3 linked regions of the Rattus norvegicus genome follow. The protein of the gene in region 2 binds, or shares a complex with, the protein of the main gene of each other region. Links are inferred from orthologs where the notes say so. Each region holds a gene or a part of one and is shown on either strand. Other genes may lie near its edges.

The links. Proteins that work in one complex are often made in the same cells at the same time.
Region 1: Tmem67 (region 2) and Ahi1 share a complex: the UniProt entries of both Homo sapiens proteins name them as parts of the tectonic-like complex. The link is inferred for Rattus norvegicus from reciprocal best matches to the Homo sapiens genes TMEM67 and AHI1.
Region 3: Tmem67 (region 2) and Tmem107 share a complex: the UniProt entries of both Homo sapiens proteins name them as parts of the tectonic-like complex. The link is inferred for Rattus norvegicus from reciprocal best matches to the Homo sapiens genes TMEM67 and TMEM107.

What each region holds. Positions count from the first base shown.
Region 1 is NC_086019.1:17,579,143-17,586,782, forward strand, and holds the start of Ahi1 (jouberin), read left to right. Parts: upstream 1-2,888; 5' UTR 2,889-2,988; intron 2,989-3,348; exon of another isoform or gene 3,349-3,406; intron 3,407-7,640. UniProt on the Homo sapiens protein: Involved in vesicle trafficking and required for ciliogenesis, formation of primary non-motile cilium, and recruitment of RAB8A to the basal body of primary cilium.
Region 2 is NC_086023.1:30,333,067-30,340,046, forward strand, and holds the end of Tmem67 (meckelin precursor), read right to left. Parts: intron 4,553-6,980; coding exon 4,436-4,552; intron 4,338-4,435; coding exon 4,233-4,337; intron 3,577-4,232; coding exon 3,474-3,576; intron 2,751-3,473; coding exon 2,608-2,750; intron 1,844-2,607; coding exon 1,763-1,843; 3' UTR 727-1,762; downstream 1-726. UniProt on the Homo sapiens protein: Required for ciliary structure and function. Part of the tectonic-like complex which is required for tissue-specific ciliogenesis and may regulate ciliary membrane composition.
Region 3 is NC_086028.1:54,268,168-54,275,947, reverse strand, and holds Tmem107 (transmembrane protein 107), read right to left. Parts: upstream 4,753-7,780; 5' UTR 4,622-4,752; coding exon 4,535-4,621; intron 4,358-4,534; coding exon 4,290-4,357; intron 4,232-4,289; coding exon of another isoform or gene 4,208-4,231; coding exon 4,107-4,207; coding exon of another isoform or gene 3,990-4,106; intron 3,274-3,989; coding exon 3,177-3,273; coding exon of another isoform or gene 2,982-3,176; coding exon 2,912-2,981; 3' UTR 2,428-2,911; downstream 1-2,427. UniProt on the Homo sapiens protein: Plays a role in cilia formation and embryonic patterning. Requires for normal Sonic hedgehog (Shh) signaling in the neural tube and acts in combination with GLI2 and GLI3 to pattern ventral and intermediate neuronal cell types.

The DNA of each region.
Region 1 (7,640 bases), on a different chromosome or scaffold from region 2:
CAATGTGGCTGTTTTGGAAGAGAGGGTCTCAGTGAAAAAGTTCATTAGGATAGGTCCTAAGCTAATATGACAGTACCCTTAGAAGATATTTGGACACAATCAAGTGGAGTGGTGGCAGACCATGTGAAGACATGGAAAAGAAAAAAAAAAGCTGTCTTTGAGTCAAGGAGAGAAATCCTGCAGGCACATCCGTTCTGAACGTCTAACTTCTAAAAACGAAAACACGACTTCCTATTCTTTAAGTCACCCAGCATGTGATGGGTTAATTATGATGCCTCTTCCCAGGTGGGGTTTGATGTTGATATTTGCTTGACTACTTGTACTAATTTTCATCACCACACCAGTGTCAAGGTTTTTCTCCCCCCCCCTTATAACAAAGGTACACTTAATGGGCAACTTAGTTTGTGAATATTAATAACATTATAAACTTCTTACCCTCTGGCTTAGCATATAGTAATTTTTCTAAATGAGTGATTCTTATAATAGTTGTCACATGGTGATATTTCTGCACATACTATTCCTTCTATATTAGTTGGAATTTTAATTTAAAGAAGAATTCTTTCGAGTTTACAAAATACTCTTTTATTTCACTGTGGCTTTCAGTATTCTTATTTTGCGCACTCGAACATGATTGTACAGGTGCTTAGTTTGAGCCGTCTATAGTCAGCTGTGGCCTTTTCAAGATGACTTCTGGCAATCTCTGATAAGTTTCATCATCCTTAATTTCTGTCACAATTTTTTTTTTCAATTCCATTTCGTACATGGTCTGTTCCTGTTCTAGAATTAAGTGCTTCTCCAAGGGGCCCTAGTTCTTTGAAAGGAGAATGGTGCTCAAGAAGCCAAGGTCTTGTATGTACTGCATGTTCGTTCATCCTACCATCCCACTTCCAGCTCCAGTCAACAGACAAAACTGGGGAAAAACTATAGAGCAGTAGACACATAGGTCATTTTACCCAGAGATTCTTTGCAACCAAAAATAGCTGTACACGTTGTCAGGCTTTAAATGTCACTTCTGCTAGAAAGACTGCCTTATTCCACACTATACCTCTGCAAATACTATATATATATATACATATACATATACATATATATATATATACTCAGCTGTTACAAAAATGGGGACCAAAACGGTTACTGGCATGGATGTCAGCCAATTGTGTCCTGAGAATAATACCTAAGGCAGAATAAGCAACCAACATTACAACTGTGAAATTGGGAGTTCAAATGTTAAGAGTATACATGATGAAGGGTACAGAAGGCAAAAGGCATAGCTCTGGGAGCGCATAATTCATCGAATATCTGTTCACTAAATACCATTTGATACTCCTTAACATGCTGCGGGTGAAAAAATTAAAACCCGATGAAAATGTTTAGAATCAGAACACACAGTCTAATGAGGTGAGCATATTGGGACTGCTCAGAATATTTAATAGGTAACTTACTAAGATTCACAGAAGGGACACGACTCCGAAAGGATTTTCAAGAGAGGGCAGTATGTACGAGGGTCATGGCAGAAAAGGGTGTAAATTGGCATTGCATACATAATTCAATATTGCATAAAGTTATGTGCAACATACAATTCGATGTTGCTTATTTCATGATGTACGTAATTCAAAAAAAATGTGTAAAACTGAATAAAAGAAGGTAATGAGAGAGTAACCCCAGGGAGAGGGAGCATCCGTATCCATGGCAACGTGATGAGATTGTTCTCGTTTGAAGTAATTTTCAAAAGAGGGTACCAGTAGCGTTACCAGCTTCACATTAATAAGGTTAGTCTGGCACTGTTGGGAAAGAAAATTCGAAGTCAAAACTGGAGTCAGGACACAGGTAGTGAGGCCAGTTCCCGCGTAAGAAAGACTGGCAGGTTGCCTTAGGTAACCGTAATGGATAGGCTTTGCACTAGGGACATTAAAGATAGGTTTGGTAAAACCCTGCAGGGATGGAGGTAGCTTAAATCAAGATAGGTTTAGAGGAGGGGATTTTGAGGGTTTTTTTGAATGACAAACTCAGCAGCTCAACATGCAGGCTTTATATTGGTGACATTTCCCGTGGTCTCCTCATTGCATTTTGAGACCCTGACGAGATGTGTTTTGTTAGGTCTGATACCAGTCAGAACGGAAAAGCTGGCCTCCGGACAATCACGCAATACTGTCGCCATACAAAGGAGCCACAGGTTGTGTGGGAGGGCAGCAGCCGAAAATGGCGTCTGATTCTGAGGGAAATGATGCACCTCGTATTTTTCCACTCTGGGTGACTCACAAGCCCAAGATGGCGCCTGAAGCGGAAGTGAGGGGGCGTTGGAAAGTAAATGTGGCGTAATCCCTTTTCCACACTGTAAACTCGGGCGCCTGAGGATTTGTCTGCAGCAGGGATCCCCATTCACATTTAAAGGCGCGTCTCATTTTGTGGGGTGACGAGTCTTTCTCGGCTGTGCTGCCTCATTCGCTCACTCGCCCATCCATCCATCCATCCATCCATCCATCCATCCATCCATCCATCCATCCATCCATCCATCCACTCGTTCCCGTATCTACGCCGGACGCGTCACCTCCCACCTATGTCCCCCCCCCCCCCACACACACACACACACTCTCCTTCAAGCTCTGAGTGACCGCGCTTTGCCCGCGGCGAGAGCCGACAGGTTTCACTAGCGGGAGACGTGCACTCGGGACTCGCTTCCGGCGCTGAGGGCGGAACTCAGCCTCCGGCCGGGTGCGCGCGCCCGCCGGACCCCGGAAACGCGCTCCGGAGGCTGGGTAGGGGGCGTGGCCGTGGTCAGGCTGGCATCTTCTGCCCGGCGACTCAGTTACCTAGGTAACAGCGGCAGAGGCGGGCCTGACGTCACGGGCGGCGCGCCTCCCGCACTGCGACACTGGGCTGACTGGACAGCGTGCGTGGCCAGCGGTCGAGCGGGTTGAGCTGCTGCTTCCCTAGCCCTTGCCTGGGCGCAGGGAGCCGCTTCGCGTCGTCCGGCTGTCTCTCCTTTCCGTGAGTATCCGGCAGGCGCACTGTAGTGGGGGCCGAGGCCTTCCCTGTCCCTGGGGGGGACGGCGATGAGACTGTCGAAGACCCGGGGATGCGCAAAGGGACTCCCGGAGGCTTTTGGATGCTCGCAAGCGGGCTGCTGGAGGCGGGGGATGCCCGCGAGTGGCCTCTCTTTTGCTTGTCCCGGCTGCCTTGCACAGTGCTCTGACCGACAGACACAGCCTTCGCCTTCCCATCGGGGTTCAGGGGCTTAAATGCCCCTCGAGCTGCTGCGTGTTTCCTTGTAGATTGACAGTCAGGTGCGCAGTGACAGGCTGTCTTCATTACATCTAAGTACAGTAATTGATTACGTTTCAATTGTAGGCTCATCCCAATGCCTAAAGCCCCCCGAAACGGAGGCTATCCGGGAATCTACTAAATGGTAAATTCTGCCTTTATTGTAACTGTGTAAACGTCGTAGAAACGTTTCCTCTGTGATTTTGTTTTGTTTCGTTAAAGCAAAAAGATGCCAGCAAGTATTTCACCTGTTGCGTAACCAATTACTTGCGCTCTCGGGAGAAGAAAAGGGAATATTTAAAAGGATATTTGCAGCAAATTCAAATGCAAAAAGAATTTTTAGCAATATTTACAATATTATTTATTTATGGGACTATGACAGATTTATTGATTGAATTACACAAACATGGCTTTTTGTTCTTTTTCTTTTGTTATGAAAATTTGCTACAGAATCCTTGTCTAAGTGTGCCCACTTCTTTTCTTTTTTTTTTGCATTGATGTGTAAGCACATACTCCATGTTTTTCAGAAGGGGGGAGGAAACGTAATCCAGTTAATTTTTCTGCGCAGTCTCTCTAAGAACCTCCCATGTTTTTGATGGAAAGACTTTTGATGAATATAGTGATGTCTAATACTGTGCATGCTAATTTTTTAAAAAATTGTTTTGTAAAATGACATCTACAAAATTAGGGATGTTTTATTAAATATAATCTAAATACACATTATAAAATTATACAATATAAATTATGGTGATGTCATTAATCAGATATAAGTTACTAATTACTGTGTTTTCTGTAGTATGCATTAACATTAAAATGATTCTTTCGTTGTGATGTTATCATTAAATATTACTGTTTACTCAGTTATACCTCAAAATTTCAAATATTACATCATTAACTATACATTTAATATTTTATTTCTTATCTATTTGTTAAATGGACATAAAGTCATTTTACTGAGCACCTGTGATGTGCATTATTATTTTTTCATTTATCTTGCCCTCCTATCAATATGTAAGTGCTGCTTACTGATGCCACCCACGCATTAAAAAATCCAGGGCCTAATGAAGTTAATACTTCATCCAAAGCCATTTATCAAAATAACAGTACTAGAACCTTTGTTTCAACTGAGAGTCACGAAATCAGCCCTTCAACAATATGTGTGTGTGGTGTACATGGGCACAAGCAACAAACATTTCAAGGACATGAGAATGTGTGCTTATGTGGAGAGGAGGAGGGGACGTGCCTGTGTGTGGAGGGCACACACACACACACACACACACACACACACACACACACACACACACACGCAATCACACCCAGCATCCAATCCAAGCGCGAGAACGCGAGAGCATGTAGGTGGGGGAGGGGATGTGAGGGGTGCGCGTGCACATTCACATGTGTGTATGTGTGTGTCTGTGTGTCGTATGTTCACCCGCACAATTATGTGAGCTCTTCAGCACTCCAGCACGCAAGAACGCACAAGTGTGTGTTTGTGCACTGGATCACGGGCTGCCCGCGGGCACGCCCGCGAGCACGCACACGGGCACGCGCGCAGGCTTGCGCGCACGTACACACATCTGCGTCTGCGCATCGGTTCAGGTTCCCAGCTTCAGGCTTGGTAAAGGCTTACTAGAGGTATTTCACAATACTTGCATTGGGCTTCCTCACAAAGATACATGTTAAAATCAGCAGGGAAACAGCACATGGGGCTCAGCCCATAGGAATCCTATTACAATGGCTGTAGCAGTCCCAACAATGGAGGAACGATCCTCTTTCACCTCCTCGCCAGCATCTGCTGTCACCTGAGTTTTTGATCTTAGCCATTCTGACTGGTGTGAGGTGGAATCTCAGGGTTGTTTTGATTTGCATTTCCCTGATGACTAAGGATGTTGAACATTTCTTTACTTTTTAATAGTCACATGCAGAGGTCTGGTTCGTTTCAGCTCCTTCACTGCCAAATACATGGGGTAGAGACTGCTTCAGCTTCTCTGCCTTCTCCTTGTTTGTGATAACCAGGGAGTGAAGGTACTACTGCAGCGAATTGAATTTCGAATTCTCCTTGTTCTTTTTTATCTTGACAGATTTGGTATCCTTCCGCAGGGCTGTGAGTAGAAGGTCTTTGCTTTCCTCAATTTTCCGAGGCATCTGACCTCAGCACCTGCCCCCCAAAAAACCTCACTGAACATTTTTTTTTGTGCATTTCTTTAGGTGCTTCCTTGCCATTCAATATTCCTCAGCTGAGAATTCTTTGTTTAGCTCTGTACCCCATTTTTAAATAGAATTATTTGGTTCTCTGGAGTCTAACTTCTTGAGTTCTTTGTATATATTAGATATTAGTCCTCTATTGGATGTAGGATTGGTAAAGACCTTTTCCCAATCTGTTGGTTGCCATTTTGTCCTAATGACAGTGTCCTTTGCCTTATAGAAGCTTTGCAATTTTATGATGTCCTACTTGTCGATTCTTGATTTTAGAACAAAACCACTGGTGTTCTGTTCAGGAAAATTTCCCCAGTGCCCATGTGTTCCAGGCTCTTCCCCTCTTTCTCTTGTGTTAGTTCAGGCTTTATGGGGAGGTCCATGATCCACTTGTACAGGGCAATAAGAATGGATCAATTTGCATTCTCCTACATGGTGACCTCCAGTTGAACCAGAACCATTTGTTGAAAATGCTATCTTTTTTCTATTGGATGGTTTTGGCTCCTTTGACCATAGGTGAGTGGGTTCATTTCTGGGTCATGAATTCTATTCCACTGATCTACCTGTCTGTCTCTGTGCCAATACCACACAGTTTTTATCACTATTGCTGTGTAATACTGCTTGAAGTCAGGGATGGTGATTTCCACAGAAATTCTTTTATTGTTAAGGATAGCTTTCCCTATCCTACGATTTTTGTTATTCCAAATGAATTTGCAAATTGCTCTTTCTAACTCTATGAAGAATTGAGTTGGAATTTTGATGGGGAATGCATTGAATCTGTAGATTGCTTTTTGACAAGATGGCCATTTTTACAATATTCCCTGATTTCTTTCTCAGTCTGTTTATCCTTTGAGTAGAGGAAGGCTACTGATTTGTTTGAGATAATATTATACTCTGACACTTTGCTGAAGTTGTTTATCAGGTTTAGGAGTTCTCTGGTGGAACTTTTGGGGTCACTTAAATATACTATCATATCATCTGCAAATAGTGATATTTTGACTTCTTTCTTTCCAATTTTTCTTTCCCTTTGATCTCTTTTTGTCTAATTTCTCAGTCTGACTGTTCCTCAGGAAATTGGTCATAGTACTACCTGAGGATCAAGCTATACCACTCCTAGGCATATACCCAAAAGATGCTCCAACATATAACAAGGACACATGCTCCACTATGTTCATAGCAGCTGTATTTATAATAGCCAGAAGCTGGAAAGAGCCCAGATGCCCTTCAACAGAGGAATGGATACAGAAAATGTGGTACATCTACACAGTGGAGTACTACTCAGCTATTAAAAACAATCACTTCATAAAATTGTTAGGCAAACAGATGGCATGAGAAAAATATCCTGAGTGAGGTAACCCAATCACAAAAAAATACACAAGATATGCACTCACTGATAAGTGGATATTAGCCCAAAATCTCAGACTACCCAAGATACAATTCACAGATCATATGAAGCTCAAGAAAAAGGACAACCATAGTGCGGATGATCAGTCCTTCTTAGAAGAGAAATAACAGGGACAAAGAGTGGAACAGAGACTGAAGGAAAGGTCATCCAGAGACTGCCCGACCTGGGGATCCATCCCATATAAGTATTAGAATGGAATTAGAGAACACACTGGGTTAGGAATGATGCAATTCCCCTCTACTGCCAAAGCAATACATTTCTCTGTGGCTTTTTCATACAAACTTAGTTTTTGTTGACTCTACTCTCATGTCCACTCAAACCTTTTTATCTTTGGTATCCCCCTACTTAATATTTGATATGTTTGACTGTCTCCTTTTTTGTGCTTATATCCCTTTCCTGACCCTATGGCTATTTCATGTATCCTACCATCAGATACTCCAACGTAAATACACATTCTAATTATTCAAAGCTAGGGTCTGCATGTATGGGGAATTTACAGTCTTTGTCTTTTCTGGGCCTCTTACCTCAATTAGTATGTTTTCCTATTCCTTCCATTTTCCTGTAAATTCCATTTTCTAATGGCTGAATAAACTTATCATCATAATGTTGATTATGTTTTAAATTCTTAGAGAATTTCTCTAATTTATTTTCTACCTGATAATAAATCTTTTATAAATTTTAGACTTTTACTGTTTTTTTTTATTAAAAATTCTCTTAAACAATTTTGTAAGAGCTATGTACTTATTTGTTACAACTTTCTGATTAATTCACTGATACA
Region 2 (6,980 bases):
CACAGGGCAGGAAACTGGAGGCAGGAGCTGACGCAGAAGCCATGGAGGGGTGCTGCTTACTGGATTGCTTCTCCTAGCTTGCTCAGCTTGCTTTCTTATAGAACCCAGGACCACGAGCCAAGGAACAGCACCAGTTGTAGACTACCGGTTGGGTCCTCCCGCCTTGATCACTAATTGAGAAAGGCCTTTCAGCCAGATCTCATGGAGGCATTTCCTCAAGGGAGGCTCCTTTCTCTGTGATAACTCCAGCTTGTGTCAAGTTGACACGCAAACCCAGCCGGTACATCAGAGGCACTGAGAAATGGCTGCCATCCTTTGGCAAACAGGAACACAGGTGTGACAAGGTATTAAGGAAAAAAACCTAATTAAATACCTCACAGTATTTTCCCTTTTCATCCTCAGCAAGTGCAGCGCCGGATCCTGACTTCTGAAATATATTTAAAGCATTTACCCTGGTAGTAACTATTTACTGAGGGAAGAAGGTTGAATTGCTTCTATGTAGGTGGTTTTAAAACTCCATGCTGCTTCATTTATTCACCTCTGTCGTTTTTATAAAGACATCCCTGTTCTGAGGCCCTTCAGACACTTAACCTTTTCTCCTTCCCTGTTCTGTTCAGTCATCCACAAAACGAAAGATCCAGCTTGGGCAGCGGCTGGACACCCTGCCCCAAGAGCACTGCATTCCTGAGTGCTAGCTCTTCTGGCAGACACAGATCAAACAGGAAATAGCAATGTAAAATATTTTATTATCTATTTTCAATTCACAGGTATATACAGTATGTACACAGCACTGCGTTTACATGTTACACAGCATCATTGTGAGAAGCAGACACGTTGTCTGGGGGTGTGGCAATCATCAGCAGCACCAGGGCTCTCCAAGTCTATGACACACCATGAAAAGACACACTTAAGAGTGTACTGAGGGGAAAATAGAAAAAGATCGACTATATGGTTCAGGATTTACTGTAAAAGTATCTTGAATCCATTTATTTTCCTTAGTAGAAAATAAGCTACTGCCTCATGAAGTCGAAGTTTGCTTCCAATAAATTGGTCAACATAAGGTGATATATTTATGGTCTATTATTTGTAATATTTAGTCATAATTGAAAAGCAACACTTTGGAGAAGTACTCTTAAAATATCAAAGTACGTGAAAAAATCCTATATTGTGAAAAATATCACCCAGTTTAACAAATGTAATGACATCAGGAACCAGGTACATAAAAGGACTGGATGCTTTGTCTAGTGGGGACGGACCCACCTACTGACAGACAGGGTGAGCTATTAGAGTCATCAGTAACGCGAACCAAATTAAATCTGAAAATACCTCTTAAAATTTATTTAACCACGAATATTAATAAAATGTGAAAATACTGAACAGAACAGTAGTTTTGAGCCTAGAAAAATAGATTTAAGCTGTGAGGAAAAGCAGGCAGGTCCTGTTCTGAAACGACAGTGCTGGGGTTAGCTTGCCATCAAGGCCTGGGAAAGCATGGAAAGTGGGATTGGGAGGGGTTGGCTTTGTTTTGTGTTGTTTATTTGTTCGCCTCCTGGTCAGCGTTAATGCATTATTTAGTAAATTAAATACAACACATAATGGGGAAATAGTATTTCTACTATATCTTATATTTTACAAGCTATAAAAATAAATCTTTCTGTAGATAAAAAAAGGAAGAATAATATGTATTACGAGTTTTACAAAAGATAGCCTGACATCACGGCTTGGCCCCATTATACTGAGTCCTCAGGTTTTGCATCACAGATTAGATCAGAAATCTTTCATCCACTAGTGTTTTGGTTGCTAAATTCTTTTGTCCTACTGTATTTCGGATAAATCGAAAAATCTAGAAAAGCAAAACAATTAAGAAGAAAATTAAATATGCAAATCAATTTAAAGTACCTAAATTAAACTAGCTAATTTTCCCAACCACTTCATATCATGAATGAGATACTTTAATTACTAGATATATTTATTTTAAAATATACATATTAGGAAATGTTTTTATGAATTATATACATACTTCTCATGCTTGCAAGAATATACTTTTAAATACTTAAGGAATTTAACTCCTAAAACTATGGAAAGATCAAAAACATCTCCCTGGTAAGGGAAGAATTTGCTATGATTCTAAATCCAGGAATAATACACCATGTAGAAACTCATTTATCCTTCGTGAGAGAGGGTGTTTGGGTGCTACCAATAACGGCATTTCCAGCACAGCTGCCATTTCTTGAAATGGTCCCCACAGTGAGACGTGTGCAATCGAGTACAGCCCTGAACCACATGCCCAGTGTTTGCTCCTTGTGTGTGAATGGGACTTAGGGAAATTCGTGCTCACTTTTGGTATGTGGGAGACGGGTGGTATGTAAGTATCTTCCTAGGCATTAAAGCCACTTTCCTTCCACTGGATCCTTGAACATTTATGGTCCCCAGGGGCAGAGTGCGGTGTGGTCTGCTGAATGGTTCTTTCCTTTGGCGGTGTTAATCATAATCTAAACATTCACCAAGCCTACTCAAAGTGGATGCTCTCACATTCTGTTGAGAAAATACATACCCTCACTTCTAACATGGCTGCTTTAGGAGAAACCAGAACACGCTGTTACTTACCTCTTGCTGCAGGTAGGTGAGGAAGGATGCTAAAACAAAGTTCTGGCAAGCCAAGTCCACGACACAGAAGAACAACAGATCAAAGATAAGGAGAGTGGCCTCGTTCCCATAATACAGCACACTGCTGAAAGAATGACTTTCATCTAGGAAAGCCATGGAAGATGTGTCAGTCAGTGACAGAGAAGATCCGTGCTACCCCCCGGCCACAGCAGATTAAACATGAGGTACATCTTGGCTCACACTAAAGTAGAAGGTGCTTCAGACTGCCAGTCTAAAATGGTAGTCAGGGCACGCAGAAACACCCACAAGCAGGAGTTTCAACATCAAAGCAAATGTTGATAATTGCTACAGAGTGCGTATGCTACGAACACCTTTAAGGAGCAGTTACTGAATCCTCGTCCTCTGCTTATAGAGCTAACAGCTAAACTAATCTTAGAGATAGTGTCCAAGAAAAGAATAAAAGATAAGAATCTAAGTCACAGTGCGAGCATGGGCTTCCTGTGTCAGTTTCCTACAGTTTGGTCCTCTGCCTCAACACACAATTCTGTCCTTTTGGGGATTTGAACACCTTCTTAAAAGACCTGAGAAGTTTCCTGTCACCATGGAAAGTAAACAAGCACAAAACCCGAATGTTCGCCTCCTCTTCCTCCCCAGAGCTGCTCTGCTATGTTCCTTAATGACACCTCTTCCTGTCTCGTTACCTTCATACTGGGTCAGTTCACACACTTCAGAATCCATCTGACTAGGCTGACCTAATCAAGTCCCCATCGTTTCTATATGAAATCATAAAGATCAATGGAAGAATGACTGCCAGCACCCCGTCTCCCCCAAACAGGCCTCAAGCTCAGCAAGGACACGAGGGTCACCATTGTAGAAGATGCTCTTCTCCAGGGGCTCCATGAACTCCATCCCGAGGATCTTTTCGAGAAGCAACTTGTCTTTTATGAAGTAATCCATTTCCTTATGAACCTAGTTTGCGAAGACAGTCATGTAAAAAACTGTAGTGAAGTCAATGCTTTCTAATTAATGAAAAATTAGAACTACAAAAGCTGAGAACACATAACATACAAAGAAAAACTTGTATAAAACGAATCACTATGCTAGAATTTAAACTAATAAATATTAATTTTAAATATTAAAAATTATTTTAGAAATATTTTAAATCTTGAATTCTTAAATTTAAGACTGAAAATCTTTAAGATTTTAGTTTAATTTAAAATTAAGATCTGAAAATTGATTTATAAGATGCTTTTTAAAAATACAATCATAGTGTAAGGATTTCAATGTGAGATAACATTTTGGCGACATACAATTCTAGTATAGTATAAAGTTCTACAATAGAATTTTATGGGACATATAAAAGGGAGTCATAATTTGCTAATGGTCACATTAAAATCACATTTTTCTTTTAGATAATCTAACTTTATGTAATCTAACTTTATGTTTAAACCATAAGTTGTTAGTGGCTGCAAATGCTTTTTAAAAAAATATTCCTATGTGTTAGGATGACAGAAAAGCATGGGTTCACTGACACGGCTGAGTGAAAATATAACTGAATTCTCATTTAACTTTTCAAAGCCAGCAGACCACCCTGGCTACAGACAGACAGACATCCAAACACATACGTGGTCAATGAAAGAGCCGAGGAACTTATTCATTGCGTGGTATGCCTTTATACTTTGTTCCAAGGTACTCCCTGATGAGCTCAGCAGTCTGGCAGGGCCATTTCTCTAATATGCAGGAGAGAAACGTGTAAGCACAGCACGCCTGATGCGGGACTTAAATGACCTAAGGATGGTGAAATACGCGTGAGCAATACTTTACAGACCCTTGTTAATGTCTCGTGAATTCTGTCATAGTGCTGTCTCATCTGACTGGAAACGGCAATCTGAAACGTCTGCCCATCTGTGTTGGGCACCAAACCTCTTTGACTGCACAAATTTTCCTAAAAAACAAAAAATTTAAGGGTTTAAATTAAGATAGAAATGATTGCAAAAGGCCTTTTAAAAAAAGAAAGTTCTTCAGCTTGTTCACGTTACAAGATTTATTAATCTAATGGAATCTTGCTGATACTGGACTTGAGACGAACACTAGTGTTTCTCACTGTGGTCACAGTTTCCCACAGATCTGTGGTCTCAGTCACTTCACTCTCATTCCAGCTTCCCCGTCGTCGCGGTGTCACCTCCTGTACTCTGCTCTAAACCACTGAGCTCACTGTACAGTTTGTACCTTAGTTTTCACCGCGAGGACCTTACCTTCTTTAACGTTTGTAAGACTGAACAGTGGAAGTATGGATACCTTCTCACAGACTATACACGACGAACACGAACTCACTGTTGCAGTAGCTCAGTGCCCAGCCAGTTCCCACTGACGGCTCACGGCCCGTCAGATTCTGCCTCCGTGACTCCTTCTCAGAACTTACTACTCTCTCTCGCCTGATCCCACCCAGCGAGCAGGACAGCCTTTGGTTTCCACAAATGTAAAGGAAGATATATATGAGATTCTCTATTTTGAATAAAAATTTAAATTAACAAAGTATAGGAAATTGTGGGGAATGAAGAATGCATAAACTATGAAGAGGAACCAAGAAAAGATCAGCTATAAATTTCAATATCTGGACTGGATATATTAAAGCACATCATTTCCAGCTCTTTTCTAAGTCACAAACATACACAGAACAACAACAACAATGACAACACTCGGAATTACACTTTTTTTTTTGTTAAACATCATATCCCGAGCAATTTTCCATACATACATAGTCATTTGGGGAGGTAGAAAGGATGACTTTTATTTATATATAAAAAGTGGCAGCATAGGAAAATCAGCCAGGCACAGTCTGATATCTCTGCTCAGTCGGTTCTGATGACCCCAGTCTTCGTAGCTTCCATCTGGTCGGTAGCCGACAACGCCAGGAATCCTCTGGGCCTTGAGCTCCTTCACTGCGAGGGTCTCCTTCCGCTCAGGCTTCACCATCCCCGGGGCACACTCGGAGAGCTGGAGGGCTGGGGACCCAGCACCCACTGGCTTGCTAGTACTTGATCATGTGTGGAGTAGTGACTCTCACTGACTTTCAGTTGCTCCCTAGTCCTGCTGGGCATTTTCCAAGACATTTATGCCTGCATCCTCCTCCTTGTCCCCTTCAAAGTCATTGCCACTGAAGGTCCTCATTGTCTGACATGAGGACAGTGGACTCCCATCTTTAATATAAAATAGTTAAGCACTAACTTCAGAGGTTTAATTGTAAAGGTAAACCAGCCTACACAATCCTCTCAAACGTTTGCATGCTTTCTTCCTGTGGAAAAATCTAGACTCTAAGAATTTTCCTTGGGTTAAAATTCACATAAGCAGTCTAAGACTAGAGAGTCCCAAGAATCTCCTGACGTTTACTACTCAAAACATTTTCCAGTTGTAAAAACCTTCCTGATAACACCTGTCTTACGGTTCACATTTTATTAACCATTAGCTTCACAGAAGTATGGCAAGTTGAAGACGGAGCACCATGGTTTTAGATATCAATATCGCTGACATATTAGTTATATGCACTTTACCCTAATTTGCTATCTTGTAATTGTGACTGACATATATGTCCTATGATAGTAAACTAAACTGAATTACTACTCACGTCCTGAGGCTTTCCAAAGGGTACACTTTTGATGGCACTCCTCGGTTGTCATCTTTGTTCCCAGGGGCTTACGGCTTAAATTATTACAGGTAACCTTTCAACCCACAGTCGCGTCTAAGAGCTAAGGGAGGGTTTAGCTCCTCAATTCTCCAAGTCGCAGATATGGGCTCAGTGAACCCCTAAGGCTTTCTTCTTAGCACCCCTTGTTCTTTTTTGGGGTGTCCTTGCTCGGGTCTCAGTATCATCAACCTTTAGCCAATCTTTGTTTCATTTATCTCCCCAGGTTTCTTTTATTTAGGGTATTTTACTGTAGACTTAAGATCCTGTCATTTCACTTGTGATTCTCTAATAAGGATTTAATGAAACAACCGCCACTGTCATTTTTATAACTAACAAAATTAATCACTTAATAGAACAGCGAATGATTATGTCAGACTTTCTCGGTATCTTAAGCTTCGCTGCCCTGTTTCCTAGTGTCCCTCAAGCAGGATCTCCTCTACCCCACCATCAGCCCTCCTCTCCTTTAACGCCGTTGGTTTGTTACAGACAGTCAGCCATGTGCTCTGTGGTGCGCTGCACATTGGATGTGCTAAGGACTTCTATCAGCTCTGTCTCGGTTGCTCCTCTGGACTCTGTTCTTCCTATAAAACCGTGGTTAAACTAGAGATTTGATTGTCTTCAGGCTCGGTCTTCCCAGCACAGCAGGAAGTGCAGTGTCGGCTTGCTTCATTTTTAACTGACTGAAAGG
Region 3 (7,780 bases), on a different chromosome or scaffold from region 2:
TGAGGCAGAGGCAGGTGGGTTTCTGTAAGTTTGAGGCCACTCTGGTCTATAGAACTAGCTCCAGGACAGCCAAGATTACACAGCGAATCCCTGTCTTGAAAAACAGAACAAAAAGTTCTATGAAATTATTAGCCACTTTTGTGTATTTGTATGAATAAGACACAAACCATGAAGGTAGAGGTTTCTGGGTTACCTGAATGACTTCTTGTTGAATGGATTATGCTGATTTCAATGTAACACAGTTCCAACAATCTTAGGACTAATCCACACTGATGTAACCTTTGCCTGATCTTCTCTTTCTTTCTTCCTTTCTTTTCTCTTTTTGAAAAAGAGCCATACTGGGATTAAAGATGTGCGATATCCTTCCAGACTTCTATTACCTTTTTAAATTTTTTACTTATTTTATTTTTTTAGGGGAGCCAGCTCATGTTTAATTGTGGTTTTTTTCTTTTTCTTTTTCTTTTTCTTTTTTTTCGGAGCTGGGGACCGGACCCAGGGCCTTGCGCTTGCTAGGCAAGCGCTCTACCACTGAGCTAAATCCCCAACCCCTAATTGTGATATTTTTAATTGTCCAAGTTTTAGACATCTACCTTCCCACCACATGTGTATGTAGTGTCTTTAAATTACAGGAACATGTCACTGAAAGGTAAGGAATGCTTGAGGAATGTATTGCCCTTGCACAGAGGCTACCGGAACCCTCTGTGTCCTCCAGTTTTGGTATCTGTGCTGCTGAAGTGAGCCTGTATGTGTATATAAAGCCATACAGCCCGTGTACATATAACCTTGGGAAACAGAAGCCAGTGACATTTCCGAGGTAGATGAGATGGACTGACAACCAGGAGACAGTTATAAGAAAACTTTGTACAGGCTTCGCACTCAGCTCTCTTAAATTCACTGCTTATAAAAGTGTTTTGAGAAAGCTTTGAGAGATTTGCCTACAAAAAGGAGCAGATGTTCTGGGGTCAAAGGGATCTGTACTTGACAATTCGGTTAACAGAGGATAGTGCTCAGCGTTCGGCTGACAGAACTGCTTCAAGCCTGCAGCTGCTTGGGGAATTTCTCAGGTTGGGCTCAGCCTCCATCCTGAGCTGCTCAACTACCGCCCTCTTCACAGCATTGATGCTGGAGGAATGCAGCGGGGACCTCAAGAGCTGGGCCAATTTGTCCATCCTTACAAGGGGCAGCAAGGTCCTCTTGCTTTGTTGGGGGAAAAGGGTCTTACTCTGCAGCCCTGGCTGGGTGGAATTCACTTGTGGGTGGCGCTCCTGCCTCTGCATGCTGAGTGCTGAGATTGTGGACATGATCACCGGTTCTGGCTTCTTTAAGTTTTTAATGCTGAGGATTTCACCGAGGGCCTCAAGGCACAGCAAGTATACACTCACTGGTGAGCTAGCTGTGTCTCCAGTGTAAATATAACCTGCTTAATCGCAAGTTCACACTGCTTAATTTAAATAAGAGTTATGTTTGGCAACCTGTCAGTAAAGCTCCCGGAAAAAGTAATTTTTTCCAAGTTCAGTAAGACACATGCAAGGGTGTGGGTGTGGGCTTCTCACAGAGCTGTAGTTAAGTTTCTGAGCAATAGCTGAGACATATGTAACATTTTGGTGGCTCTCAAGTTACAACTTCAAGCTTTGCTACTAAACTCCTAAAATCTTTCTTTTTTGGGGGGTGAAGGGGAGGTAGCATGTACCACAATTTACAGGATTAAACAAGTCTGGGAGTGCTGGGAAATGTCTCTATATGCCCAAAGCTGAGTATAGGTCATATCACATCTATTTTCTCAGTATTGTTAATAGGGCTTTGCCTACGGTAAGGAGGTCATTGAATTGAAATGTGGGGATGAAGGCAAGAGACGCTTTAGGTCATAAGGGTTAAGGCCTCATCAGAAAGGATCTCCTGGTAAGCATGAGGAGGGGCCAAGGTTGCTTTCCCCACACCGAGCCTAGAGTGCTTTCTAGAAGCTGGGCAAACAATCAGCAGCAAGGCACTTGTTGTCATAGAAATAAGGTCTGAGCAATCAGTCAGTCATATACACAATTACTAAAAGCACCTTAAAGTCATGGCTCTGACCAGTGTTAGGAGAAATTTCAGGAGCACAGGACAAAATTCCTAAATTCTATCAGTCAGTACATGCGAAATAAATATGATCGTCAGAGAATCAGATAGGAGCAATCAGGATGTTGTCAGGTCCTGATTACACGGAAATGCTAATCAGCAGATCATGCAAGCTCCAATCATCATTTTCTATCTGCCCTCCGAGAGGAGGAACAGGTAAGGATTAACCTCCTGACGATAAAGGACAAAGGGAGCCCATTCCTAATTAAGTAAAGACATTCCATATTAAAGAAAGGGTGAGAATATGACAATTTAGCACGAACCCAATGACTTATAGTTATTGCAACTCAAGAGCAATATCTATTTGCAAGTCGCCTGAAATATTTTATTTTTCCATTCGGCGCAGAAAGAGAGAAACAAAGTTCTCCCATAATGCTCCGCTCACATACAGCAAATTAGAAGCCCTATGTGAGGTTCTTATTTACATATTCCCGCCCACTCACTTCCGCCTATTTTGTACCGTAAAAATCCAAATAGAAGCATAAGCTACTAGCTCACGTACAGAAGGCTAGAAAAAAGCCTTTATTTACATCAGCCTTTTGATTTACCCAATGGTCTTCTGACAAATAGTCTAAGCCTTGCTCTTATTATAAAATGAATTTTATTACAAAACTCTAATAAAATTATAACCCAAGATTTGTGAGATCTTATCCCAACATTGCCATTTTCTGTTTAGACGCAGTTGGGAGGAGCAAAAGACTAGGGCGAGAGAAAACTGAAGCCTCTCCCTTTCTTCTTCCAGCAATGGGAGGGAGTTCATCACGTTTCCGGCTTTGGTCTCTTCATCGGATTGTGATCAGAAGGGTTTCTTTTTCAGCCCAAAGACAGCGATGAATAACGCAGTTTCAGTGACAGCTGGAAAAGCGCTGTGGAAGTAGGGGGTGGGTTTAGAGCCCCTTCCGACCCAAACACTCAAACCTCCAAGCCTTATATGTGAGTGGGTTAGCGGATGGGTACGACTCTTTAAAACTCTACCAATTTCACATGTGCAGGAAAGGTCTAGGTGGGGGAAACCTTCAGATTTGGGGTAGACTTTCCACCACCCTCCATTCCAAAATAACCTGCAGAAGGCAAAAATGTACCAGTACGTGGTACATTCCCATCGCTCGAATATGAAGAAAGATAGGGCCACAGACGCGCTACAGTGGGCTGCAATGGCTTAAAAATACAGCAGAGTCAAGGAAAATAATAGGTAAGTGATGGGTCCCTTTAGTACTCGGACTTGGGCTCAGCTTGTTCCCTTCCCTTAAGACAAACACCAGAGTTGGCAGCCATGCCTTCTGAATTTGTGGACACTTATGTGTAAGAGGCCAGAGCTGAGTTTGTTTTGATAGGACCTCTCCCTGTACACTTTTGGGAGTTAATGTCACATATGCCCTAGGCCTCACAAGAATACCTACAGGTCTGATACACTGTGGGAATTTCTCCAGTGCTCTGGTCCTCCTTGTCCACAACTCAGAGTCAACGGCTATCTTTTTTTTTTTTTTTTTTTTTTTAAAAAACAGGGTCTCTCTATGTAGCCCTGGCTGATTTGGAACTCACTATGTAGGCCAAGCTGGCTTCGAACTTAGAGATTCACCTGCTCCTGCCTCCCTAGTGCTAGGATTAAAGGTTTGCAACATCACACCCGGGTATCGAGAACCTTCCTATGTGTCTCATTTTCTTGGTCCCTTTTGAGTTCCCACAATGGTTTGTATTTTGCACACTCCTACAGAATACTGTTTAATCACACTGATTTACAGATGTTTATCCATCTCTTCCTCAAACAGGATAAAGTGGTTTTACTCCCACTCATGGATCGCCAGAACCTGGCTCACATCAGGGTTTAAGGTTTGAAGTCTATTAATTCCCCAAAACTGTCTAAAACCTCTCACCTAGAGAGATTCGCTTTGCCACGTAGGGCAGAGACTTGTGCCCAAAAGGCCTACAGAAGTGGAAAGAGTGAGTGGTGATGATGTCGCATGGGGACGCTGGCCAGGCAGAAAGGATACAGAGGAGGCTCTGGGTGCTATTAAACATGGAGACTCCTGAGAGGAAGCCAGCCAGCTCCACTGCAAAGAGGCCCAGGGTGAGGCAGAGCGCTGCTACCAGTCTGCAGAGAGAAAGGGTGATGGACCTGGGTTTCCGGATTGCGTAGAAGACCCTGGCACTCTCACCCCGCCCCAAGAGCTCACTGGTTGTCCTGCTTCTCATATTCCTCCGGGGTGAACTTGAGAGGCAGGCAAGCCTGGATGTTGCTTTCCTGGTGAGCCGGGCAGAAAGAAAGAAAGAAATGTCAAAAGAGGGATGGGGTTGCGGGGGACGGGAGCAACGGACCCAGTGTGGGTCTGTGGGAGTGGACTGAGCTGAGCTGGGTCCACTCTAAGGTGAGAATGGGAGGGACAAGAAGACACGCGCGCGCGCCCTGTCCACGTCTTACCCGGGACCAGAACAAAGTGATGACAATCACCAGATGAGCCAAGAGCGTCAGGAATCGAGAGGGCACGAGCCCGGAGATCCGACCCATGGCCTCGGGGGCCCAAAGCGGAGGCCGTAGAAGTCTGAGGAGGGTCACTCATCAAGTCTCCCAGAGCAAGCAGGCCAGACCTCTCTACTTAAGCCTCCTTCCCGCGTGCTCAGGCGCCGCCCGGTTGCCATGGTAACTGCGTCCTCAGGCGCCATGCAGCTGCCTCCGGAAGTCTCGCGATAGTGCTGCGCCCTCTGCAGATGTCTATAGGCCAGGTACCCGAGCCGATGCTCACCTCCTGGTGCTTGTGGGATGAATCCGGGAGGATGCACCCGTAACCACCAAATCCTCCCTTTTCCTGTGCTTCCCACTCACTGCCTTGGGCGCCAGGAGATGAGGGAACGAAGGAGTAGAGCTTCAGCACCGAGCTTTGCCCCACAGTCTCGCCAAGCCCTCCCCGCCCCCCCCCCACAGCCCCTGGTTGTCAGAGGGCTCCCTCTCCCACCCAAGACCAAACCTCTGCCGATGAACGACTCTAATTTCTCCCTAAATAACTTGTCTCGGTTTCATGAAAGATTTGCCGAGTGCAGAAATGAGCAACCTTGGAATGGGTAGAATAGGATGTGGGTGGATGAGGTGACAGCCTCCTCGGGATCCCAAGGGATCTGAAAAGGTGAAGAATGGAGTGGGGGACTAGAACAGCTTGTGCGCCCCTGGGAGGCTTAAACCAGGCTGATTCACCACCGATTTCACTCTCGCTTTGAGTTGCCAGGCCGCGGACATTGCTCAGTTACAGACCCAGAACCTCTTCTTAGGGTGATGTGACTGATTTGGGGCTTCGGATGAAATGCCTGCGATCGGAAAGTTCTCACTACCATCCCAGTTCACAATCAAGTCCCATTGACAATGAACCTCCTCCTTTTGCACCCCCTCTTCTCTCATTTCTCTGTGTGTGTGTGTGTGTGTGTGTGTGTGTGTGTGTGTGTGTGTGTGCCTCTAAACCAGCCTAAAAGACAAGACCCAGAGGGATTTCATTCATTCAACAAATATCTGATGTCTCCCAGATGCCAGGCACTGTGCTTGACTCAGAATACATCGATAAAGTCCCTCCAGTTTATATTCTAGGCAGAGAGACTGATAACAAAACAAACAAACAAAACAAAACAAACAAATACACACACACACACACACACACACACACACAAAACCCCAACAAAACCCTGCAAGGTAATGTATGCTGTAAATTTAAAAACTTTAAAGGGTGACACTAGAATAATATCAAAGGAAAGTTTTGAAATAGATAATTCCTAAATTTTCGTTTCAAGGAATTGGGGGGAGGGGGAGAGAGAGAGGAAATGTTTCTGTCTCCCTAAAGTAATACATGGGGTCCCCTTACCTAAACCAGTGAGTAAAAACATTTAGAATGCAGAGTCAACGTTTTTTACTTAAAGGTCATGAAAGACAGGCTGGAGTTCTTCCCACTGAGTGGGGGATAAACCTAACCTAACATGAGATCCCAAACCAGACAAAAGACACCCCCCACCCACACACACACTCACACTTTCATTATAAAAGACTGGTGGAATGTTTGACAAACAGTATAGTATTTGTAACTTAAATAACAACAACGTAGATTTTTTTAATTTTTTATTTATTATATATGAATACACTGTAGCTGTCCTCAGACACACCAGAAGAGGGCATCAGATCCCATTATAGATGGTTGTGAGCCACCATGTGGTTGCTGTGAACTCAGAACCTCTGGAAGAGCAGTCAGTGCTCTTAACTGCTGAGCCATCTCTCCACCCCCAATGTCCTGATTCTTTTCTTCAGTATTGGAGATAAGCTTTTGCATATAGGTAATAGGTAAGCACCCTCCACTGAGCTATACTTCCACTTTCCCTTCTGAGTCTTATAGTATATCTTCATCGATGCATAGAGTGGCATTCTAAGTCATTTGTAGCATTAAATGTTCTTATTTATTGAAATTCCCCCTTTATATTGAAACTTCTGCCTGTGCTGCACTGGGAATCAAATGCAGAGTCTGGACCACACGAAAAAACTGCTTTCCTACCGAGCTCCTACATGGTGAAATTTTATAGTAACTTTTTCATATAAATATGAATCTTAAGCTGGATAAGGGGAAAACACCTACAGTCCCAACACTTGGGAGGTAGAGGAAAGAGGGTCAGAAATTCGAGATCGTGCTCAGTTAGTCGGTTCAATAAAACAAAGAACTAAAATGACTTTACAAACAAACTGTAGAGGTGGCTCAGTGGTTATCCCAGCACCAGGTGTTAATCCCAGCACTCAGGAGGCAGAGGCAGTCAGATCTCTGTGTTCGAGGCGAGCCTGCTCTACAAAGCAGGACAGCCAAGGCTACACAGAGAAATCCTCTGTTGAAACAAAGATCACAGAACACTCTTGTTAAATTCAGTTCCCAGCACCCGTATTGTGTTGCTTACAACCTCTTGTAACTCTAGAGATTCGGTGCCCGCTTTTGGAAGCTGCACACAAACACACACAACACACACTCAATGCACACACACACTCATACACACATACATATGGACTCACACTCAATGCACAAACACACTCAACACACAACACAGACTCACACTCAATGCACACACATACACACGGGCTCACACTCAATGCACACACACTCATATACATACACACACGAACTAACACTCAATGCACACACATACATTCACACACACACTCAATGCACACACACTCATACACACACAGCACACTCATACACACACGCATGCATACACACACACAGACTCACACTCAATGCACACAAACACACACACCACACTCAACACACACACGGACTCACACTCAATGCACACACACATATTCATACATACACACACGTTCATACATACACAAACACACACACACGGACTCACACTCAATGCACACACACATTCATACACACACACAGACTCACACTCAATGCACACACTTATACACAATATTTAAAAGAAATTGTGAGGCCTGGTGGCTCATAGCTTTAGTTCCAGCACTCAGGAGGCAGAGGCAGACAGGTCTGTAAGGTACATAGTAAGGGGGTTGGGGATTTAGCTCAGTGGTAGAGCGCTTTGCCTAGCAAGCGCAAGGCCCTGGGTTCGGTCCCCAGCTCCGAAAAAAAGAAAAAAAAAAGGTACATAGTGAGATCCTGTCTCAAAAAAGATACGTCAGTTAATT